2 linked regions of the Tamandua tetradactyla genome follow. The protein of the gene in region 2 purifies or fractionates together with the protein of the main gene of each other region. This does not show direct contact. Links are inferred from orthologs where the notes say so. Each region holds a gene or a part of one and is shown on either strand. Other genes may lie near its edges.

Region 1 (12,375 bases), on a different chromosome or scaffold from region 2:
GACAAGGATGCCTAATGCCACCACTGTTATTCAACATTGTGCTGGAAGTTCTGGTCAAAGCAATTAGGCAAGAAAAAGAAATAAAAGGCATCCAAACTGGAAAAGAAGAAGTGAAACTTTCACTATTTGCAGATTACATGATCCTATATATAAAAACTCCCCAAAACTACCGCAAAGCTATTAGATCTAATAAACAAGTTCAGCAAAGTGGTGGGATACAAGAATAACATACAAAAATCAGCAGCATTTCTATACACCAAAAATGGGCAGTTTGAGGAGCAAGTCAAGAAAAACATCCATTAGCAATAGCAATTGTATTAGTCAGGGTTCTCAAGAGAAACAGAGACAACAGGAGATATTTGTAAATATGAGATTTATAAAGGTGTCTCATGAAACTGTGGGAATGGTAGAATCCAAAATATGTTGGGCAGGCTGTGAAACTGGCAGCTCCAATGAAGGATCTGAACAAACTCTATAGGAGAGGCTCTCTGATTGAAGAAGCGGTGAAAAAATCTCACTTCTTCCTTAAAAGCCTCAACTGATTGGATTATGTTGGTGGGTTATGCCCTTAGTTGTTCACAGATGTTAATCATCCACAAATGCAATCAACTGACTGATGACTTAATACACCAGCCTTCCAGTTTATCAACCAGCCATGAAATATCCTTGCAACAATGATCAGGCCAGTGCTTGCCTGACCAGACAACTGGGCATCATCATCTGAACAAGTTGACACCAGAACGTAACTATCACAGCAACTAAAGGAATCAAACACCTAAGAATAAATTTAACCAAGGATGTAGAGGACTTGTACACCAAAAACTACCAAACATTGCTAAAAGAAATCAAAGAAGAACTAAATAAATGGAAGGGCATTCTGTGCATGGATAGGAAGACTAAATATTATTAAGAAGTCAATACTACCCAAAATGATTTACTGATTCAACACAATCTCAATAAAAATACAAACAGCTGGCTCTCTGTTTCTCCCTGCTCAACAGATCAGCCTCACCTTTTTGTGCAGTGCCAGCAATTTCTCTAAGGCACAATGAAGGTTGGAATAAACGGATTTGGCCATATTCAGTGTCTGGTCACCAGGGCTGCTGTGAACTCCAGCAACTGGAGTTGTTGACCCTCAACTACAGGGTCTACATGTTACAGTATGATTCCACCCATGGCAAGTTCAAAGGCACCATCAAGGTTGAGAATGGGAAACTTGTCATCAATGGGAATCCCATTACTATCTTTCAGGAGCAAGATCCCATCACATCAAATGGGGTGATGCTGGTTCTAAATGTTGTGGAGTCCACTGGTGTCTTCACAACCATGGAGAAGGCTGGGACTCACTTGGAGGGTGGAGCCAAAGAAGTTATTATCTCTGCTCCTTTGGCCAATGCCCCATGTTTGTGATTGGCATGAACCATGAGAAGTATGACAGCTCCCTCAATATTGTCAGCAATGCATCTTTAACTGCCTGACCCCCCTGGGCCAAGGTCATACATGACAACCTTGGCATCATGAAGGAACTTATGACCATTGTCCATGCCATCACTGATACCCAGAAGACTGGATGGCCCCTCCAGGAGAATGTAAAATTCTCGGCACCATAGGGTGCTGAGAACACTGCATCAACCAATGCTGCCAAAGTGGAAGGCAATATCATCCCAGAGCTGAATGGGAAGCTCACTGGCATGGCCTTTCACATCCCCACCCCCAATGTGTTCATTGTGAATCTGACATCATGGCTGGAGAAAGTACAATGACATCAAGAAGGTGGTAAAGCAGGGGTCAGAGGTCCCCCTAAGGACATCTTGGGCTACAATGAGGATCAGGTTGTCTCCTGTGAACTTAACAGTGACACCCACTCTTCAACTTTTGATACTAGGGCTGGCATTGCCCTCAACAACCACTTCATTAAGCTCATTTCCTGGTATGACAATGAATTTGGCTAAAGCAAGAGGATGGTAGACGTTATGTCTTCATGGCCTTCAAGGATTAAGAGTCCCTGGACTCCCAGCCCCAGTGACAGCATGAAGGAAAAGAGACCATGAGCTGCTGGAGAGCCCTTTCCCAACTCGATCGCCCAACACTGAGAATCACCCATCCTCCACAGCTTCCATCTCAGATGCTTGAAGAAAGGGATGCACCATCACCATGTACCATCAATAAAGTACACCCAGCCAAAAAAACAAACAGCCTACTATTCAAAGTTAGAAAAGCCAATTATCAAATTAACTTGGAAGAGGTAAGGGACCCTGAAAAGCCAAAAACATCCTGAAAAACAAAACAAAGTTGGAGGACTCACAGTTCTTGACTTTAAAGAATATTACAGGGGGCGCAGGGTAGTTAAGTGGTAGAATTCTCACCTGCCATGCGGAAGACTCAGATTCAGTTCCCAGTCCATGTTCTTCCCCCCACCTCCAAAAAAGAACAAACAATGAAACAAACAAATAATTTAATAAATGGTGCTGCAATAATGGTATACGCATATGGAAAAATAATGAAACGTGACCCCACCGTATAGCATACCAAAGAAAGAATATTGCAAAGCTATAATGGTCGATTCAGCATACTACTGTCAAAAGGATATATATTGACCAATAGAATCGAATTTTGAGTTCAGAAATATACTTTCACACCAGTTTACTTCAACAAGTGGCATTAGGAGAACTGATATGTATATGCAAAAGAATGAAAGAAAACCCCTATCTTACATTATATACAAAAATTAACTCAAAATGGATTAAAGACCTACATATAAGAACCAAGACAACAAAATTTCCAGAAGACAATATAGGGGAGCATCTTCAAAATCTTGTGGTAGGCAATGGTTTCTTAGACTTTACACCCAAAGCAAGCAACAAAAGAAAAACTAGGTAATTGGGACCCCTATAAAAATGAAAAACTTTTGTGCATCAAAGGAATTTGTCATGAAAGTATAATGACAATCTACTCAATGGGAGAAAATATTTGGAAAAATTTTCCATTATCAGACATATCCAATAATTGTTAACTACCTAAAACATAAAGAAATCCTACAACTCAACAATAAAAAGACAACTCAATTTTAAAAAAGGCAGAAGACTTGTATAGACATTTTTCCAAAGAGGAAATACAAATGGCTAAAAAACACAAAAATGCTCAATATCGCAAGCAAATAGGGAAATGTAAATCAAAACCATAGGATGATAGCATTTCACATCCACTAAAATGGCCATTATTAAAAAAAAAAAAAAAGAAAACCACAAATGCTGTAGAGGACATTGAGAAATAAGAACATTCATTCACTGCTGACGGGAATGTAAAATGGTACAGCCACCAGGGAAGACAGTTTGACAGTTCCTCAGGAAGCTAAGTACAGAATTACAGCATAATCTGACAGTCCCACTGCTAAGTAAATACCTGGCAGAATTGAAAGCAGGGACATGAACAGATGTTTGCACACCAATGTTCATAGTGGCATCATTCACAATTGCCCAAAATGGGAGCAACTCAAGTGTCCATCAACTGATGAATGGATAAATAATATATGGTATATACATACAATGGAATATTTTCTGCCCTAAAATGGAAAGAAGTCTGATGCATGTGACAACATGGATAAACTTGAGGACATTATATTGAGTGAAATAAGCCAGACACAAAAATACAAATATTATATGATCTCACTGTTATGAACTAATTATAATAAGCAAACTAAAAGAGTTACAATATAGAATATAGGTTACCAGGAGATAAACTGAGATTACAGAATGGAGATCTGATGCTTAACTTGTACAGAATTTCTATTTAGAGTAACGGTAAAGGTGTGGACATGAATGGTGGTGATGGTAAGTCTGAGTGTAATCAACAGCACTGAACCATAGAGGTGAATATGGCTAAAAGGGGAAACTTTAGGATGCATGTTACTAGTACAAAAATTTAAAGATAAAGCACAGGACTGTACAACACAGGGAATCCCATTTTAGATGACAGACTATAGTTTTAATACAGGTATAAGAATGTTCTTTCATGGATTATAACAAAGGTATGATATTAATGCAAGATGTAGTGAAGTTAGAAAAAGAAATAGCTTTATTTAAACTCCTACTTTACTCAGGACTCTACAAAGAAGAACCAAAATGCAGCTGAGGTAGGCTGATGTGCCAAGGATCCCTTGCAGTGCTAGTTAAGACCCCCGCCTCTATGGGAAAGGAGAAATTGTGATGAGCAGTCATGCTGACACTAGCGAGTCTGTAACTCTTCACCAGCTAAGCCCATTCCTGCACAAACATTCTGCCAGGGCAGCTTTTGCAGATATATTGTACCCAAGGACATCCTGCCATAAACAACTCGCATAGCTCACGTCCCCCTTGCTTCTCCCTCCCCACCCCCCCCATACCCTTTCTTTGTTCTAGGCAGGTATATAAACTGTCCCTGCCACTTTGCTTTGAGCAGTAATTTCCTTTTAGTTCTGTTCCCATGCATGCCACTTAGCTCAATAAACTTCTTCCGCAACTTAACAGTATTAACAATAGGGTAGTACATGGGAAAAAATACAGCTAATGTAAATTTTGGATAATAGAAAATAGTATGATTTTAATCATCTCTCTTCAATTTTAAGGGTAACTACTGTTAAAAAAAAATAGTACAATTCTAAAAATCTGCTATGGTCAATGATAACCAATGTTTCCACACCATTGCAAAGTGTTGGGTATGGGTAGTATATAGGAATCCTGTATTTTATGCATGACTGTTTTTTAAACCTATAACTTCTCTAACAATAATATTAGAAGCAAAAAAATTAAATAAGTACATAAAAATGTACTAAAAACACAAAATTCAATAAAAGAAAACTAATTTTTTAAAAGAAGCTCAGTACAAACGTTTCATTAGCATCAGAATAAACAAACAAATAAAAGAGACACCTTTTATTCACATCAAATGGAAGTAAAGAAACAGCTCTTAACACTGGATGTATAGTTGGGGAAAAAAGTTACTAACAAACATTTTTTAAATAATTTAATTTCTAGTTATATTTCTATTTTAATATTGTTGCTAGAACAGATTAACTCCTGTTTGTGATTTAAAGAAATGTGAGATAACTTTTGAAACACTGGAATCTAAAGCTGTGAAAGAGAAAACACTAGCTTCACCAGCAGCTGTTTTATTTTGGAGTTCTTTGCTTGTATTTCTGTAACATGGTCACTGACTTATTCAGTGTCATCATTAATTGTACTCTGGCTAAAATTCTCCCAGTGGATATATGAATTATCTCAGTGCAGTGATTTTAAAGACATACCAGAAGGAATTGATGAAAACATAAAAGTATCTGCAAACCAAAATTTACCTGTCCTTTCTCATGAGCCCCCTCTTCTAGAGAGCCTTTCAAGGCCCTACCAGATCTGGAATATCTCCCTCTTCCTTGCACCCAGAGAACACCATCTTTAACCATGTTAGATTTCCATCATACTCTCTTATACCTGTAAAAGGGACAATTGTGTTTCACCTGCAGACCCTGAGCAGGGATGAGTAGTTTGCAAGTGAAAAATCAGTGGCTCAATTAAAAACAAAACAAGATCTTTTTCTGGCATTGTATTAATTGAAAGATGAGGCATTTACCCGTCAGTGATATGTTGTGACTCTCCAAGGAAAGGTTAGAATATTTTGCCATCATTTCTTCTCTGGCAGGTTGAACTGTAGAACGTACATCTGTAAGAGAAAGAACATGTGGTTACAAATTCTCACTAGGACTAAATGATCACCTAAAAACAGTCTGCGACAGCTAAAATGTCATTGCACACTGTGAAAAATAATGTTTTCAGACTTTAAAAAGTCTCATATTCACCAAAGACATTCATAAATATATTGGGTTTTAAAATGTGACAAAATTTGCCCTTTTTTCTACGCCTATTTTATGTAAAAATCCCTACTTATAGATAGGTGAAACCAAGTGGCTTTTACAAATTTTTTTCATTGTCATATCCCATAATTTAAAGTCTCTTTATGAAACATAAATGAACTAAAGACATTACGTGACTAAATAAGAGTGCCAGAAAAGGGAAGGCTATGTATGAAGAGGTAGAGATGAGAGCACAAATAACAATGAAAAGAAGAACAGAGAAACTATGTTACAGAGCATTGAAAAACCAGATAGTACTGGGCATTAGAAGGCAGAGAAGACAAGATGGATTATGCCCAGTGAGAGTTCTACCAGTACTTGTTTTCCAGCTATGGTTTCAGTCTGGCACAGCCTCTACCTGTAAATGACTTCCTATTTTGCTCTGTCACTTTTCTTTTGTAAATTTTTAATAAGGAATCAAGGTTTCCATTTCTGCCTGTCCCACTTTCATCAAAGCTCCTTTTTTTAACAGTAGTAACTAATTTCCATTCCTTTGACTTTAGAGCACCCGTACTTACCGCCCACAAAAGTATCCCCAACATTATCAAACACATCAGAGTGGGGGACAAAGGCACATTATTGTCAACTTGGCTGCATGCTTTAAACACTTCATTCAATTTAAATTAAAACTGGGATTTTTATCTCATTTTTCTAATATTCTGTTCAGAAAATTATTCCTAGTGCAAGATTAGATTTCCAGTTCATTCTTTTTCTATGTATGAAAAATGTTATCTAAGTTAGCAATCCCTTTTTTTGCTTCAGCTTTATACTTTACAGACAGCTTTCACAATACTGTTTATTAAAAAACTCTGCCCAGCCATAATCCATGTCTTCATTAGGCTGTGTTCCAAAGGTTTAATCCCCTCCAATTTTCCTTTGGAAGTTGAAATGCACTTTCCCATCAAATAATCCTTTAATAACGTAGCTAAAGAATACTAACCCCTGACAATAACATAAAGGAAAATATGTCCTGAGTTTCTCATTGGGCTGTCAGTGGGCTGTCCCACTGAGCTATAAAACCTTTCTTCCGTCCTGTATGTTACATAAAGCATCTATTACCTGACTGATATTACCTGGCCTCACCCTTGGCACCTCCCTGCCCTCCATAACCCCCTCCCCCCATAACTACCTGGAAGCATACCAAGCTTTGGCTACTATAATAACCTTGAACATTGCCCACTCCAACTGTATACTGTTTTGAGATAAGAACATATACCAGGATGTTTTCCCAAAATTTGCACCCAAGCCCTTGATATTTAGCCACTTTTTTTCTCCAGCCATATATAATCTATAGAGCAGTTGCCATAAATACACGCATACCTGACTGAACAAGTCTCACTGTCTGTCACAAGGTAGCTGCAGCTCTCTGTACGTTCCCTAATTCAAGCTTTGGACTGATCACTTTGGTGTTCAGTGCCTCTTTCATTGACATTTCAACAAGCCCCATTGTGGGGCAGCTTGAGGCAGTCCCGCCTAGGTCTCCCCTTATTTCTCCTTTCAGGTGAGTCCTGCAGTAGATCAGTGGAACACAGCCCACCCGCATCCAATATTAACACATTCACCCATTTTCTCCTACCCTCATGCCCTTCCCCTCCCTCCCTTTCTCTCTCTCTCTCTCTCTCTCTCTCTCTCTCTCTCTCTCTCTCTCTCTCTCTCTCTCTCTCTCTCTCTCTCACACACACACACACACACACACACACACACAGCCAAAATGTCACCCATCAACATTCTTTTCCTAATGAAAATTCCTTTATCCATTCTTTGGCAGAACTTCATTAGAGGTTTGTATTAAAGAGAAAATATCTCAAAAGATGAAGCAGAAGTAGATGTTACTCATTTATGGATGCGAAACCAGGAAGGCATGGATAGGAAGGAAAGAGTTGTTCTACTATATCATTTCATCTGTGAAGCTTATGAAATACAAGCTTAGATATCTTTGTTTCCCTGCTAGGGATCTCTCCTTTACTGGCCCGGCCTGCTATAGGACAGAATGGAGTCATAAGGTACACATCAAACTCTGCTTCATAAACCTTTTGAAATTCTATGACATACTTATTATTATTATGATGCATACCACCAGTAACAAAGTGTGACAAAAGCTAAAGAAAAGGGTTTTCTCTCATTTTTATTCTCATATTACTTAAACCCTATGCAGCACCAGGATGCTAGATGCAAATGAGGAATATAAACTTTAGTAAACGTCCTCTCTAGAGAGCTACACAGATCATGATAATAGCAATTTAGGCCGACAAATTGTGGCTGCATCATTAAAATTTCAGAGTAGCACCCATTCACATATTAACTATACCTGGTCTGTGCATTTTGTACAAATTGACGCATGGGCCACAAGCCTGATTTACATCTTTGAGGAACTAATAAAGTGAAATGGGGATGAAGATGAAGCCAAGGAGGTGAGTACTGAGGTTGGGGCCATTCTCCCACTGCCCAGCACCAGGACCTGCTTTAGAACAAGAGAAAAGGGGTCTAGGCTTGCCTTGGGCAAAATCTAAGTTTATAGCAGTTGAAGGAATAGGGGAGAAGGAAAAGCAAGCTTCAGGAGCAAAGAAATGTGGGTAGTTCCAGAATATACTAGCTGTTGTGTCCATCTCTAATTGCCAGCTCACGTATCCAAAATAATTTCAGATGACCCTAAACCAGACACCACCGATACTAACTTCACATTCCCTTTAAAGCATTAATCTTGGTCAAGCTCCCAATTCCACTAAAAAAGTACATGAATGGGTGTTGCGACGGTAGCTCAGTGGCAGAATTCTCGCCTGCCATGCCAGAGACCCAAGCTCAGTTTTCAGAGCCTGCCCATGCCAAAAAAAAAAAAAAAGGCACATGAATAACTTTGGATGTTGTCTTGGGAAAAATCCCTTTTAGAGGCCATACACACAAATGTCTTGAATCAAAAAATCAAGGCAGTTTATAGGAGGGAAAAGAATGGTAGAAATAAGGAATTCATTATTTAATTGAGATATTTTTTAATAGAAAATGTAAACCTTTTGTAACAGGATGGCTGGCAGAGCTCCACCCCATTCAAGAAGGAGGAGTGAGACTCCTCACGGTTCCATCCCCTCACAGAAGCTTTGAACAACCAACAAAAGCTGGCAGAAACATCTTTCTCAAAGGTCCAGAAAACAGTTAAAGTTTTGTAGTAACAGGGCAAGTGCTGAAACAAGTAAAAGGATGTGTAAAAGTGGTAGGCTGTCATGGTGCCCTGGCTAAATCCTCCCACACCCCTTACTAGATTGGCATGGAGCTGGCCTGCCTGCCCAGTGAAGATCCCTGGTCCTGGTTCCAGAGGACCACTCTTTCACACACACACACACTGGAAGCATGTATGCCTGGACCAGTCTGTCTGATGCTGGCCTAAGAGACTCACCATCACAGCACCTGCCTGTACAAGGCAGCTCATGGAAGTCTGCTATAGATTGCTATAGGAGAACACTCTAGTCGGCCTGCCTAGGCTATATACAGTGCAATGCCAAGTACCATGGGGAAACTATTTCCTAGGTAACTAAGGACATTTGGAACTATGTAAACAGGAAATTCCTAAGGCTACAGGAATGCACAAAAAGGATCAGGAAATCCCTTATGCTTTCACCTGGAGCTTCTCTATAAACTGATTATATGGATAAGCCATAAAGGAGCACAGTCACACAAGTCAATTTGCAAAGACTGAAAAAGCAGTTTTTTGTTTCCTCTTTTTTTTTTTTTTTTTTGTTAGATCATGGCAATCAAAGTAAGCTCTGCTACAATACTAGTTGGGTACAAAGTTAAGGAACAGATGCCTCAGAGCCTAAATTCCAGCAATTGTGCAGTAAAATGACAAAATGACCAGGTTTCAAGAAAAGGTCACAAAACATACAAAGAAACAGGAAGTGATAACCCAGGCAAAGGAGATTAAAGAATTAGAAACCATCAATGAGAGAACCAGATGGGGACATACAAAAGAGGTCTAAAAAATGATTCTAAATATGCTCAAAGAGCTAAAGGGCAGCATAAAAATAAAAGAAATCAGGAAACTGAGAGATGAACACAAATAAGTAGCAATGTAGAGTTGGAAACTATGAAAAAGAACCAAACAGAGCTGAAGATCACAATAGAAGAAATTTAAAATTCCCTAGAGGGGTTCAATAGCAGATTGAAGCTAGCAGAAGAAAAAATAAGACCTTGAATATATCATTCAGTCTGAGAAGCAAAAAGAAAGAACAAGGAAAAATGACTAGAGCCTGAGGAGCCTGTGGGACACTGTATAAAACATGCAAATAAACACAGTGTGGACATCCCAGAAGAAGAAAGATGGATAGGGGTAGTATGACTATTCAAAGAAATAATAGCTAAAACCTTCCCAGATTTAGCAAGAGACATGAACGTACATATCCAAGACACTCACCAAACTCCAAACAGGATAAAACCAAAAGACCCACACCATAGTATATTATAATCGAACTGTCAAAAGTCAAAGATAAAGAGAGAATTCTGAAAGCTATAAGAGAGAAGCAATGTGTCATGCACAAGGGAGCTGCAATAAGATTAAATGCTGATTTCTCATTGGAAATCATAAAGGCAAAAAGTCAGCATGATAACATGTTTAAAGTGCTGAAAGCAAAAAAATTGCCAACCAAGAATTCTATATCCAGTGAGACTATCCTTAAAAACTGAAGGAAAAATTAAGACATTCCCAGATAAACAAAAGCTGAGAGATTTTTGTCACCACTAGACTGGCCCTAGGAACAGTTCAAAAGCGAGCTCTACAGGTTGAAGGGAAAGTTCAACCTGACTCCCAGGGGTATAAATCACCCTGGAAAAGTAGGACACGACTTGTGGGGATGAGGCTAGCCCTGGCATCATGGGATTGAGAAAGTCTTCATGTCCAAATGGGGGAAGAGAAATGAAACAAAATAAAGTTTCAGTAGCAGAGAGATTTCAAATAGAGTTGAAAGGTCATTCTGGAGTTTATTCTCATGCATTTTACAGATATGCCTTCTCAGATTCTGGTGTACTGGAGTAGCGAAAGGGAAATACCAGAAACGTCTGAATTGTAATCCAATAGCCTTGATTCTTGCAGATGACAAAATACTATAGAGCTTTTAAGGTGTGACCGTGTGAATGTGAAAACCTTGTGACTAGGCGGTGCAATGGTGGCAAATGGCAGAATTCTCGCTTGCCATGCCAGAGACCGGGTTCGATTCCCAGAGCCTGTTCATGTAAACAAACAAAGAAAAAAACAAGCAGAAAAAAACACCTTGTGACTGTACTCCCTTTATCTTGTTTATGGACAGATAAGTAAGGAAAAATAACACACACAAAAAAACCAAACAAAGGGGGTGGGGTATGGGATGTTTTGGGTGTTCTTTTTTACTTTTATTCTTATTTTTATTTTGGGGGGGGAAGTAATAAAAATGTACAAAAATCAATCATGGGGGGGGTGTAAGGATAGTTCAGTGGTAGAATTCTCACCTGCCATGTGGGAGACCCAGGTTCAATTTCTGGCCCACGTACTTCTTATCCCCCCCCCAAATTCAACAACTGGTGCTGCAATAATGGACTACTCACATGGAAAAATAATGTAATGTGACCCCCCACCATACAGCATACAAAAAAAAAAAATCAATTGTGATGACAAATGTATGGCTATGAACCAGTGACCGCACAGTTTGGATGATTATTTGGTATGTGAATATATACTGTATCTCAATAAAATTGCACCTAAAAAATTTCTTGAACTTGATAACTGCACTTAGGTGGTTACCTAAGTGAATATCTTCATTTTAGTAAATATACATGTCAGTAATAAATTTTCAAGGAGCATGAAGTATTCAACCTACACTCAAGTGTTCAGAAAATAGATAGTGTGGCAGTTTGGAGCCATTAAGTAACCCCAGAAAAGGCAATGCTCTTGTAATCCATTCCTGCGAGTGCAAACCTAGTGTAGGTGGGACTATTGGTTAGTTTATTTCAATTGAGATGTGATCCGCCTCATTCAAGGTGGATCTTGTTCCACCTCCTCAAGTCCTTAATGAGGGGATAAAAGACAGGAAAAAACCCAGAGAGCTGACAGAAAAATTTAAAAATAACTGGAGTTGCTAATAGAGGAAGCCACCAAGGTTAGAAGCTGAAAACGATGGAACTTGGAGAGAAGGAGCAACAAATGCTGTCATGTGCCTTTCCGTGTGACAGAGGTGTCCTGGATTCCAAGAGCTTTTCTTCAGAGAAGGTATTGTCCTGTTGATGCCTTAACCTGGACATTTTCATGGCCTTAGAGCTGTAAATTTGTAAGCTAATAAATCCCCATTGTAAAGGACAACCCATTTCTGATATATTGCATCCAAGCAGCTTTAGCAAACCAGATAGATAGATAGATAGATAGACAGACAGACAGACAGACAGACAGATATGGCAAATATGACAAAATGTTAAAATTGATAGATCTGGGTATCTAGGGCAATAAGGATATGTTGGAATTTTCTGTTTGGGTTAGTAAT
Region 2 (11,277 bases):
CTGTCAGGTGAGATCTTGGCAAGGGTAGGAGAGTAATAAAATGCCTGGGTTTTTAGCCTCTGGACTTTCACATCTCTCCCGGTCCTTCCAAAAGACTTAGGGAGAAGCTGAGGGAAAGTTCTGGCTGGCACCTAGCCCAGAGAGGGAATCCTTAGGGAGATGGCTAAACTGATAAGCAGCATTCAAAGATAATGAGTCCAGAATATATCAACCCAGGGCTAGTGGGGCTGGAGCATAAAAGGGAGAACCATTATAAAAAAGGTGCCAGGTACTGTGGGTGTGAAATAAATATCTTATTTACAGATGAAGAAAGGCTTTAAAAGATTATGCAACTTGGCAAATGAAAGTCATACTACTGGAATGCTAGAGCCCAAGTCTAATTCCAACATACGGTGCTATTTACAGACATTTTCTCTAATTCTCTACAGTCTCATGAGGTATATTAGGTTCATTTTTCAGATGAGGAGTTTGAGGCTGGAAGACTGATTAAAATACCCAAGGTCACACAGCTAGAAGGTGTCAAAGCTGGGGTTGTAACTCAGGTCTGTGGGACTCTGAAGCCAGTACTACATTCTGCTGCTGGGCAGTGTTGGAATTGTCTGGTGCTCTGAGCCCCTGAGGGTCCCTCAATCCCCATTTCTTCTTTTTTGGCAGGCTGTGGCTGGGCCTTGACCTTCACTCCGACCCTGGCCTGCCTGTCCCGTTACTTCTCTCGCCGTCGATCCTTGGCCATGGGGCTGGCACTGACGGGTGTGGGCCTCTCCTCCTTTGCCTTTGCCCCCTTCTTCCAGTGGCTGCTCAGCCGCTATGCCTGGCGTGGGGCCCTGCTGCTGGTATCTGCCCTCTCCCTCCACCTGGTGGCCTGTGGTGCTCTTCTCCGCCCACTCTCCCTGGCCGAAGACCCTGCCACGGGTGGCCCTTGGGCCCAAATCACTTCCCTCCTTCATCATGGCCCCTTCATCCGTTACACTGTGGCCCTCACCCTGATCAACACCGGCTACTTCATTCCCTATGTTCACCTGGTGGCCCATCTCCAGGACCTGGATTGGGACCCCCTGGCTGCTGCCTTCCTACTCTCGGTGGCTGCTATTTCTGACCTCGTGGGGCGTGTGGCCTCTGGGTGGCTGGGAGATGCAGTACCATGGCCTGTGGCACGACTCCTGATGCTCTGGACAACACTGACAGGGGTGTCACTCATCCTGTTCCCCGTAGCTCAGGCGGCCAAAGCCCTGATGGCTCTGGCTGTGGCCTATGGCTTCTCATCTGGAGCCCTGACCCCAGTGGCTTTTTCTCTGCTGCCTGAACTGGTGGGAACTGGAAGGATATACTGTGGCCTGGGACTGGTACAGATGGTAGAGAGCATTGGAGGGCTGCTGGGGGCTCCACTGTCAGGTAAGGAGAATGGGGGTAGGGAAACTAATTTACACTATAGTGTATTTGAATGCTGCTCCCTAGTGTTGTATAGTACGCAACCTGAAATGGGTCAATGGGGCAAAGAAAACTGGGGCTGGGAAAGTCTGAGTGCAAAGACAAAGAGGAGCTAAGTGGAACCCTTGAGAGGGTGTCTGTGGTGGGTTTTCAGAGGATCTGGATGGCCCTGGCCAGACTTAGTATGCCACAATGTCTTCCCTTTCCTTTGGCTCCTTGGGCCCCTGTCTGGTCAAAGATCTCATTGCTCAAGATGCCAGAACTTTCAAACCCTTAACATTTTCCTCTTAACTGGGAACTGATGTTGGAGAAGGGCCTTAGTTGCCTCTGGAACCCCCACCCCCTCATCCTTACTGGCTGCCTTGAAGGTCCCTTTCTGAAGGCAAGAAGGAATTTAGAATCAACCTTTTGAGATCCCTTGGGAAACCAGAGTTCTCTAGCTCCAGTCCTTCCTTAAGAGTTCCAACTCTTCCAACGTAATGGGTACTAGCTTTTTTTTGTTCCCTCTACTCAAAAATGTGCTTGATCCCCCATGTGTAATTTATCTCTCTCTCTTGGGCCTAGGTTACCTCCGGGATGTGACAGGAAACTACACAGCTTCTTTTGTGGTGGCTGGGGCCTTTCTCCTTGCAGGGAGTGGAGTTCTCATCACCCTGTCCCACTTCCCCTGCTTCTCACCTCCTACCCCCAGGCCCCAGGACCTTGTAACAGTGGCACTGGATACCAACATCCCCTTGCCCAAGGAGGGGCTGGGAGAGGACTAAACTCCAGGGAGGAGCAGTCAGGCACAGAAAGCCAGAACTCCGCTGCTCCATGTCTTCTCCTCCTGCCCCGTCATGGTCCCCACAGAACCACAGTGCCTTAAGCGTCTTGATCTGTCTCTCCCCAGGCAGGCCTGGGGCTTCTGGAATGTATGGGCCAACTTTTGTTCTTTTGTTGAGGACTCTTACCTCTTCTCTTTTGCTCCCTGACCTTTTCTCAAGGATCAGAGAGTTCAGCCTACCCTACTGAGCTGTGAATCAACTGTAAAAATAAAAGACCAAGAAGTTTTTGTTTTATATGTGATCTCTAGTGTTGCCTCCTAAGTTTCTTCTCTGAAGACAGAGAAGAAACCAGCCTTTTTGGCTAACTTAAGTAGGATGTTTTCCTTGTACTAGTTTGGCTAATAGTTGAAGATTGTAGGGAAACCCAAAGGACATTTTCTTTTTATTGGGGGGAGGGGTTCAAACAAGAAAATGATCAACAAGTGGTGTCCAGAATGGGGCCGGGGCCTCCTGGGGAGAGGAGGGAGGCCTGAGAAACAGGGAGAAGCTCCCCCTTCTCAGGAGGAGGGTGGGAGGGAGGTGAGTCTGGACTGCAGTGGGGCAGCACCCCGGGCAGCCCCATGAAGATGAAGCTGCCAGAGAGGATGAAGGAACCGCACACGAGGAAGGAGGCAGTGAAGTCTCCCGTTTCATCTCGTAGGAAGCCTGAGAGCAGGGTGAGGAGGGGGTCAAGGGACTTGGAGGCCTCTGACGAGGGGCAGAGGAGGGTTGGGAGTGGATCTCCTGGCTCAGGCTCTTACCTGACAGGGGAGGCCCTAGGAGCCCCCCGATGCTCATCAGCAACAACACCAGCCCCGTGGCCTGCACGACCCCTCCGAGGCCCACTAGTCCTGGGAGCACCCCGAAAATCAGCGGGGCGAAACATCCGACGCTCAGCCCGTAGGCTCCGGCCGCGGCCAGCAAGGGGTCCCCCCAACCCTTGCTGCTCCCCTCCACTGGCACCAGTCCCACCGCCAGCAGCCCCAGCCCGGTCAGAGACGCGAACACCGCCAGCAGCCGCGACAGGGGCACCCAGCCCTGATTCGCCAGCCACCCGGACAGCAGCCGGGCGCCCGCGTCCCCCACCGCAGCCACCGCCACCACAAGCGCGGCCCCGTAACCCCCGAGGCCCCGCTCTAAAGCGTGGGGGGCCAAGTGTACGCAAGGGACGAAGTACCCGCCTCCCACCAGGAGCATGCCCAGAGCAAAGATCAAGAAGGGCCGTTGAGTGAAGAGATCCAGGCCGAGGGCAGCGAAGGCCCCGCAGGGTGAAGCCGGGGGGTCGCCGGGGAGCGCCAGGGGTCGCAGCACGGCTCCACAGGGGATGAGGTGGAGGGTGAAGGCGCCGAGGAGGAGCAGGGCGCCCCGCCAGCCGAAAGTATCAAGGAGAAACTGCACGGAGGGCGCCAGGAGCAGCGAAACGACCCCGTTGCCGGTGAGCGCCAGCCCCAAGGCCAACACTCGACGGCTGGAGAAGTAGAGGCTGAGGGTTCCGAGGGCGGGGGCGAACACCAGGGACCAGCCCGAGCCTGCGAAGCGACAGGACCGGGTGAGGGGCGCGAGCCGGAGAGCCTGCGCCTGGCTTCCGCGGGAGGCCCCTCCCCACTCGGCCCCGCCAAGCTCCCATCCGCCACCTTCACCCTTAAGGACCGGGCACTCCTTCCTCCTCACCAGCCAAGAGGCCCAGGCCGAGGTAGAGGTGCAGCAGACTGCCGGCGAAAGCAGAAAGGACCAAGCCGAGCGAGGTGAGGACGCCCCCAACCATGACCACGGGGCGCGCCCCCCAGCGGGTGGTCAGGGCGCTGCCCATCGGGCCTAGAAGGGGGCAGGGTTAACGGAAGACACGCCCCTGGAACCCCCAACTCGCCCGGGCACTTCTCATTGGCTGTCTGCCTGGCCTAAAGTTCTGGCGGTGACCCTTGCTCGGGGTGTCTGGCAAGCAGGCGGGTCTCCCTCCTCACCACTGACGACCCCACCACCCGCCGTTCCCGCCCCCAATCTCGGGGTCCCCCTCACTGGCTGCCTGCTGCACGGCCAGGGCCAGGGCGCTGACCCACGCAGTCTCCTGAGCATTTCGTTCGAAGTGCTCGGCGAGGTCAGGGAGGGCAAGGCTCAGGGAGCGCAGCAGCCCGTAGGAGAGCCCGTTCGCCGCGAAGGTTGCGGCCGCCACCATCCAGCCCCAGCCCCCGTCCGGGGGTCCGGCCAGCTTGGGGGTCATCGTCGTCTGCGGGGGTGGGGAAACACCTGGGAGTGAGGTCTCCCGGGCCGTGGGTCCGCGGGGGACCTGGCGTCCCTGAGTGGACGCGTCACCCGCCCCAGCACGACAGGGCGGGGGCGGGGGGAGTGAGAACCAGGCCTGAGGATGGAACCTCCCCGTCCGCCCAAAGTCCGGGACGGGGCACACCCGGCCCTCCCAGGCCTGGGCCTCCCCCTCCCACACTCAGGCCTTCCCCCTTACCCGACCCCTCCGGGCGGTGTGTGTGTGTGGGGGGGGGGGGGTGGCGAGGCTCCGCCGGGTTTCGCAGGCCGGCGGGGCTGGGAGAGCAGCGAGCGCAGAGCTGAGCCGAACTTGGAGCGGTTCTATCGGTAAACAGGGATCACTGCAGGGGCCCGAGCCACCTGAGGATGCCCGGGGTACGGAGGGCGGGGGCGAGTCTAGACAGCCAATCCGCAGAGCCGCAGGTGAGACCAGACGCCGAGTCCCACGGGGATTGAATTGGCCACATATACACACCCCTAGGCCCCGGAAAGGCCGCGGCGAGGAATGAATGCCACCCCGCCCCGATCGGCTCCCGCCCACGCACCCGCTGCCTACCTACCGCGCACCGCCGAGTCAGAGACAAGCCCCGGGGGCTGTACAGCACGCGGGAAAATAGGCGTGGCACCCCAAACCTTGAGGGGGTGAGTAGTTTTCCTTGGCAGGGAACGTGACTGCCGAGCAGGTGCATTTCGGATGTCAAATCGGATTTCCACTGAGCGTCTGCTCTGTGCTCAACCTTAACCTGCCTGCTAGGACCGAGGGGAAGGAAGAGGAAAGGCATTCCCTTATTATGAGACCCTGAGTTGTGCCAGGCATTCCCTAAATATGCGGTCTTCCCATCCTCACGATAACCCTCTGAAGAAAGTGTAGTGCCATTGTATGGATGAGGACCAGTGTAGGACGGAGCTGCTGGGAGCTGCTCAGAGAGGTGGGGTCATTGGCCCAAAGTCACCCCGCTCTAAAAGGATAGACATATTTGAACTCCGGTCTGTGCAACTGCAGGACCACACAGCTGAATCTCCACAGTTGTAGGGAATGGCCTGCAGACTATTTGATGCCAACTGCCCTGAAACAGCAGAGCTGTTGTAGAGCCAGAGAGAGTTTGCGGTTCTAAAATAGGGTCATGGGAAAGAAATTGTTGAGATTAGAATCTCCAACAATTTGAGTTTAGAATTTTTTAAAAAAGGTAAGAAATCAGGGAATTGTATCCAGGTGTTGATTTTTTGAAAAACTTTATAAAAGTATCTTTTTTACAGCTTCTTGTGTCACAATATGTGTTCTTTGATTTAAATTATCAGATGATTATAGAAGATTTGACAGTTTACAGTTTGGCGTCTGTATCAGCAGACAGCCACATGATGGCAGTGTTCCCAGTTGTTGAGAAAGTGTCTGCAAGTAAAGAAAAGAAAAAAGCAGCTTCTTAAATGGTGAAACTGTGAACTTTGAACATACCTACAGCTTAGCTTTCCATATCCCCGTTGGGGCCTATAGGAGGAAAAAATAAAATGCCTCTACTTTGTGTATAAGGCTTTTTACAATCAACAGTAGACCCAGGCTATATTTCCATTCCATCTCCTTCCTTCCCCTCAGCCATTAGCTTTTCACTTGCTCCATGGACATGCCAAACTTTTTCTTATGTGTCCTCTCTGCTTGAAATGCCCTGGATGGGGTACAGGAACCCATAAATACAGAACCCATAAATACAGAAACCCTGACCGTAAGGTCAGGCCAAGTACACCCTAGAAAAGTGGCCCCAACAGTTTCCCCAGCCTGAAGTTGTGAAAGGGCACCAGGGAGGTGGAGCCAGCAGGTCCTCAGCCACCCAGGGGTGCAGGGGGCCTGCTTCTTAAGAACGCTTTCTGCTCCAAGCTGATCAGGGCCAACAAGAACTACTCACTCCCTCTCCATGGTGAAACAGAACTGCAGGGCAGTCAAAGAGGAGACTGGTCCCTCTGGGGTTGGGAGTTGTACCAAATGATGCGGGGTACTTTCTCAGATACTTATAATCCCAGAATGGCATCCCAGAGCATGGGACTGGGGTGATGGGTTATGAAAGGGTTCTTTGTCTACTTCAAATTCCCCAAGTCCCCATCGCTGTGTCTTTTGCACATGGAGGTAATACAGTGTAGAGATTGGGAGAACGGAGTCCTCAGTTAAACTGCCTGGGTTTGAATCCTAGCTCTGCCATGTATTAACTGTACGGCCATGAGCAAGTTACCCAACCTTCCTGTGCCTCGGTTTCCTCCTCTGAAAAATGAGGATTAAGATAGTAGTGACTTGCTAGGGGATTATGAAGATTCTGCCCTTCCCTCACCTTGCTATTTCTACTAAGGTTTCAAAGTCAAAGAACCACACTGATCTGGGGTGTTCTCAGTTGAAATGCATGGGAAATACAATGTGAAATAGCTATAACAATGTTAAATGAAAATTTTCTGGTTTCTTTTCTTGTAGTGTGTAGTTTCCTTGGCATTTTCTTTTCTTTTTTTTAAATTTATTTATTTTTTATTTATGATATATAACCACATACAAACACAAACATTCTTATCATATGATCATTCCGTTCTTGTTATGTAATCAATAACGCTCACTTTCGTCACATAATTGTATATTCATCATCATGATCATTTCTTAGAACATCTGCATAAATTCAGAAAAAGAAATAAAAAGAAAACAGAAAAAAATTCATACATACCATACCCTTTACCCCTTCCCTTCACCAATCACCAGCATTTCAATCTACTACATTTGTTTTAACATTTGTCCCTCCTATTATTTATTTATTTTTAATCCATATGTTTTACTTCTCCATCGATAAGGTAGACAAAAGGAGCATCAGGTGCAAGGCTCTCACCACCACACAGTCACACTGTGACAGCCATATCATCATGCAATTGTCTTCAAGAAACATGGCCACTAGAGCACAGCTCCACATTTTCAGGCAGTTCCCTCCAGCCTGTCCATTACACCTTAACTAAACAGGTGATATCTATTTAATGCGTAAGCATAACCTCCAGGATAACCTCTCAACTCTGTTTGTACTCTCTCAGTCACTGACACTTTATTTTGTCTCATTCACTCTTCCCTCTTTTGGTCGAAAAGATTTTCTCAATCCCTTGATGCTGAGTCCCAGCTCATTCTAGGGATTTCTGTCCCATGTTGCCAGGAAGGTCCACACCCCTGGGAGTCATGTCCCACGTAGAGAGGGGGAGGGCAGTGAGTTTGCTTACTGTGTTGGCCAAGAGAGAGAGGCCACATCTAAGCTACAGAAGAGGTTCTTTGGGGGGTGACTCTTAGGCCTAATTTTAAGTAGGCTTAGCCTATCCTTTGCAGGATTCCTTGGCATTTTCTAAAGTTTACAGGAAAATGCTGGTCTCCCTGTCATCACTAAAAGCAAGAGAGGAGAAAGGAGTAAAAATAAGTTTTATTCATCAGTCCTTCATACAGAGTATTCATAGACATTTACTAGGACAGGTGCTATGCTTAGGGCTGGGAATGTGAATGCAACTAAAATACAGTCTCTCCTGCAGGCTCCCACAATCAAATCACAGAAACAGTCACACGAAGGAAAGAATTCTCAATATGAGGAGAAGAACACAAACTGTAGAGTGGTGCATGGGAGGAACATACTCACTCTGCTTGAGGGCTTCTAGGAAGGCTTCACAGAAAAGGAACCCCTTGAGCTGGGTCTTGACGGATGAGTAAGAGTTTGCCAGATGGATGTGTGGGCAAGGGCATTCCAGGCAAAGGGAGCAGCCTGTGGAAAAGCACAAAGGCATGAACCAGCTTAGCATGTTGTTTATTATTTGGGGAGCTGTAAATAGCTGCTGTTTGAAGAACAGAGTGTGTAGGAGAGCAGTGTAGGACGGAGCTGCCGGGGCAGAGAGTCTCATCATGAAGGGCCTTGAAGGCCAGGTTAAGGGATTTAGATGTTTTCCCAGAAATTGATGCTTCTCAAAATTTTCTACTGACATTCCATTCTCTAATACTGGAGCCTGAACACAAAGGAGAGAGTACTCATGTCCCACTTGAAGAGGACAATGTCTTTAAAATACCCTGTTTTACACTGAAAACTCATGTGGAACTTTGCACCCTACTCCATTCTACCTCAAAATAGTTTTTGATGGCATATTTTCATTTAAAAATGCTTTCATAGAAAAATTATTTTAATCACTCAAATCTTCAAGAAAACATTTAACTCTCTAGGAAGATATACATATTTATTCCAAGGGTTTGTTTTCCCTGGAACACTGCCATCAACCAGAGTTAATGTGGGTGGTTTGATGGTGAGCTACCGATGGTCCTAGATCACCTCCTCCAGGAAGTCCTCCCTGCCATGCCCACTGCTGGTCTGCATTAGGTGCCTGTACTCTGCCTGTGTTATCGGCCATCAGAGTAGTTTTCAGCCTGAAGACAGGTCATCCACATTTGTCTTCTGCTCTTCACCCAAGCCCCCCATGTTGCCCCAGCACCATGTGCCCTGGAGGTAGGACCTTGCATTATTGATCTGTTATCTTTGACACCCAGCATGGAGCTTGGTATGTAGAACACCAGGCACGTGTTTGTTAGGTGAGCATGTATCACCGAATTTGGGAAATACTGAAGAAGGAAATCATTGAATGAGCGAACTTGGAGCCCAGTGCCCCAGGGAATGTGGCAATATCACAAGAAGGATCACTGATGGACCCAAACCCTTAATACCCGCCCGCATGGAGGAAGCCCCAGAAGATGGCGCTGACCCCGGAAAGGGTCTTTGGAGAGATCAAAAGAGAGGGCATACTTTGCTCCGGGGACCGCGGCAGCCAGGAGTGTGTCTGTGTTCGTGAACGCTTAAAAAACTGTTCTGGGGCTTTCTCACCAGAGCCCTGCCCGCGCAGTTTTGGGGCCTTCTAGGGTCTGCAGGCCCGGAGGAGTGGAGAGCAGTCTGGGCTCAGGGCCTCGGGGACACCCCCAGCAGAGCCCAGCCATTCCCAAGTGACCCCACCAGGGGGCTCCCTCTGCAGAAGGTGGCTGGGACAGAAGCATTCGGGCATCACACGCAAAACATTGCACTCTCCGATGCACTCAAAAAAAAAGGCTTTGCAGTGTTTGGTCCAGGTGATGTGGGTTTCCAAGTGCCTAATGGAGCAGCCTCCGACCCCTCAACCTCCAGAATCCTCCCTTTCCACAGCTCACCCTGAAACCAGGCTGTAGTACTCAGCAAAGCCCAGATTAGGCCTGGAAAAGTGGGAGAACAAACTTGGGAAGGGGTGAGGGCACAGAGGGCAGGGTTTGTGGGTCAGTGACTAATTAAGATGGGGTGGGGGAGCACATTTGTTGAGACGCTGTTATGGGTCGGGGGGTGGGGGTGCCCACGGTGTGTGGGAGCAAGTCAGCTCAGATGACTACACATGACTGGAGAACCAAACTGAGTCCCCTGAGCCTTTGGGGTTGAGATGAGTGCTTGCTGAGTGGGGCAGGATGGGGGCTGGCCATGGGGCTGAGGTTGGCACCGAGCAGGATGAGGCGAGGCTGGAGCTACGGTTGGATTCAAGGCTATGTAATTTCTCTCTAACCCCCTCTACAAAGTCCTTCTCCCACGACGTCGTCCAATCCAGTTTCCATCCCTTCCCTCCACCGTGACCCACACCTCCCAGTCCTGTTACATGGGACAGTCTGCAGGGGCTGGTTCCTGGACCTCTCCGGACAGTCCGTTCTCCAGGGCAGGGGGGCTGGGGACCGAGCAGGAAGGCTTGGTCAGGGTCTCAGCCTAGTCTGTGTGTCTGACCATCCAGTCGTGGCTTCCCTGGAGTTTCTGGTTCTAGGACTTGGGCCAGCCTTTATGTCAAGGCTTTTAGTTGTAAGCCATGGGCATGAACTCTAACTGATATAAGGAGAAAAAATGATTTACTCTAGGATTCTGGTTAAGTCACAAAGTGGCCAAGAGGACTTCAGACCTAGGTTGGAAACAGGCGTGAGCAAGGACTAGAGCCGGCCCAAAGGAATGGCTAAGGCCACTGCTGACGCGGGGGGCAGTAGATGTCGCTGCTGGCCCTCTGTGACCCCTGGGCCTGGAAACTCGCCGTTGCTCAGAAACAATCTCTGCCTTTTGTACCAACAGCAAACAAATCCAAGTCCAGGGTCACTGGCGCTGACCACCTGGACCTGGTCATGGGCTTTCAGCCTGGTTGGAAAGCGAGCACCTAGTATTTGCAGCATCTCCAGCAGGAACTGGGTTCTGCTTGCCAGCAGAAACAATCAGGTGGGGGATTTCTCAAATGAAGGAAGGGGTCCAGATGCAAGGCAGGCCAAAGTGCCCGCTAAAAACAGATGGTTAGGGCGGGGATAGGATTTGAATTCAGACAGCAGCGTGTGTGTGTCCTGCAAAAGCAGCTTGGACATGGTGAATTAAGAGCAGAGTCCTTGAGTCCCGATTCCAACGCTTTCTAGGTATCTTTAAAGAGAAGAGTGATATGTCAAAGGGTTGTGGGTGAAACTTGGGTGAAATGAAGCATGGAAAGGAGCCAGCACAATTCTAGTCACATGGGGGGTGCCCTATAAATGTAGGTTCCCTTCCATTTCATTTCATCCCATTTTCTGGCCATAAGCAGACACCTCCTCGCCTACCTCTTTCTACTCCCAATTCAATCTCTCCTTGAGTTTCCTGTGCTCCTTGAGTCTTAAGAGAGGTAGTAAGACCAGAAGGAGCTGGGTGTGGTGTCAGCTGCTTCCCCTCTTCCCTACCCACCTTTTCAGCTGCCTTTGATCTCTGGGCCCATGTGTCTGCTCTTCCCCAGGCTCAGCTTCCCC

Evidence for each region.
Region 1: the proteins of SLC16A11 (region 2) and EMB purify together in Homo sapiens (co-immunoprecipitation; 3 studies listed by BioGRID and IntAct, counting the BioPlex papers as one, with this or other methods). This does not show direct contact. The link is inferred for Tamandua tetradactyla from reciprocal best matches to the Homo sapiens genes SLC16A11 and EMB.

The regions. Positions count from the first base shown.
Region 1 is NC_135335.1:96,411,217-96,423,591, forward strand, and holds the start of EMB (embigin), read right to left. Parts: upstream 5,715-12,375; 5' UTR 5,657-5,714; coding exon 5,602-5,656; intron 2,411-5,601; exon of another isoform or gene 2,374-2,410; coding exon of another isoform or gene 2,367-2,373; intron 1-2,366. UniProt on the Homo sapiens protein: Plays a role in the outgrowth of motoneurons and in the formation of neuromuscular junctions.
Region 2 is NC_135332.1:60,932,535-60,943,811, forward strand, and holds SLC16A11 (monocarboxylate transporter 11), read right to left. Parts: upstream 4,450-11,277; coding exon 4,248-4,449; intron 4,047-4,247; coding exon 3,903-4,046; intron 3,761-3,902; coding exon 2,652-3,760; 3' UTR 2,596-2,651; downstream 1-2,595. Other genes in the region: SLC16A13 (monocarboxylate transporter 13), read left to right, coding at 1-7, 655-1,392, 1,993-2,192. UniProt on the Homo sapiens protein: Proton-linked monocarboxylate transporter. It catalyzes the transport of pyruvate across the plasma membrane.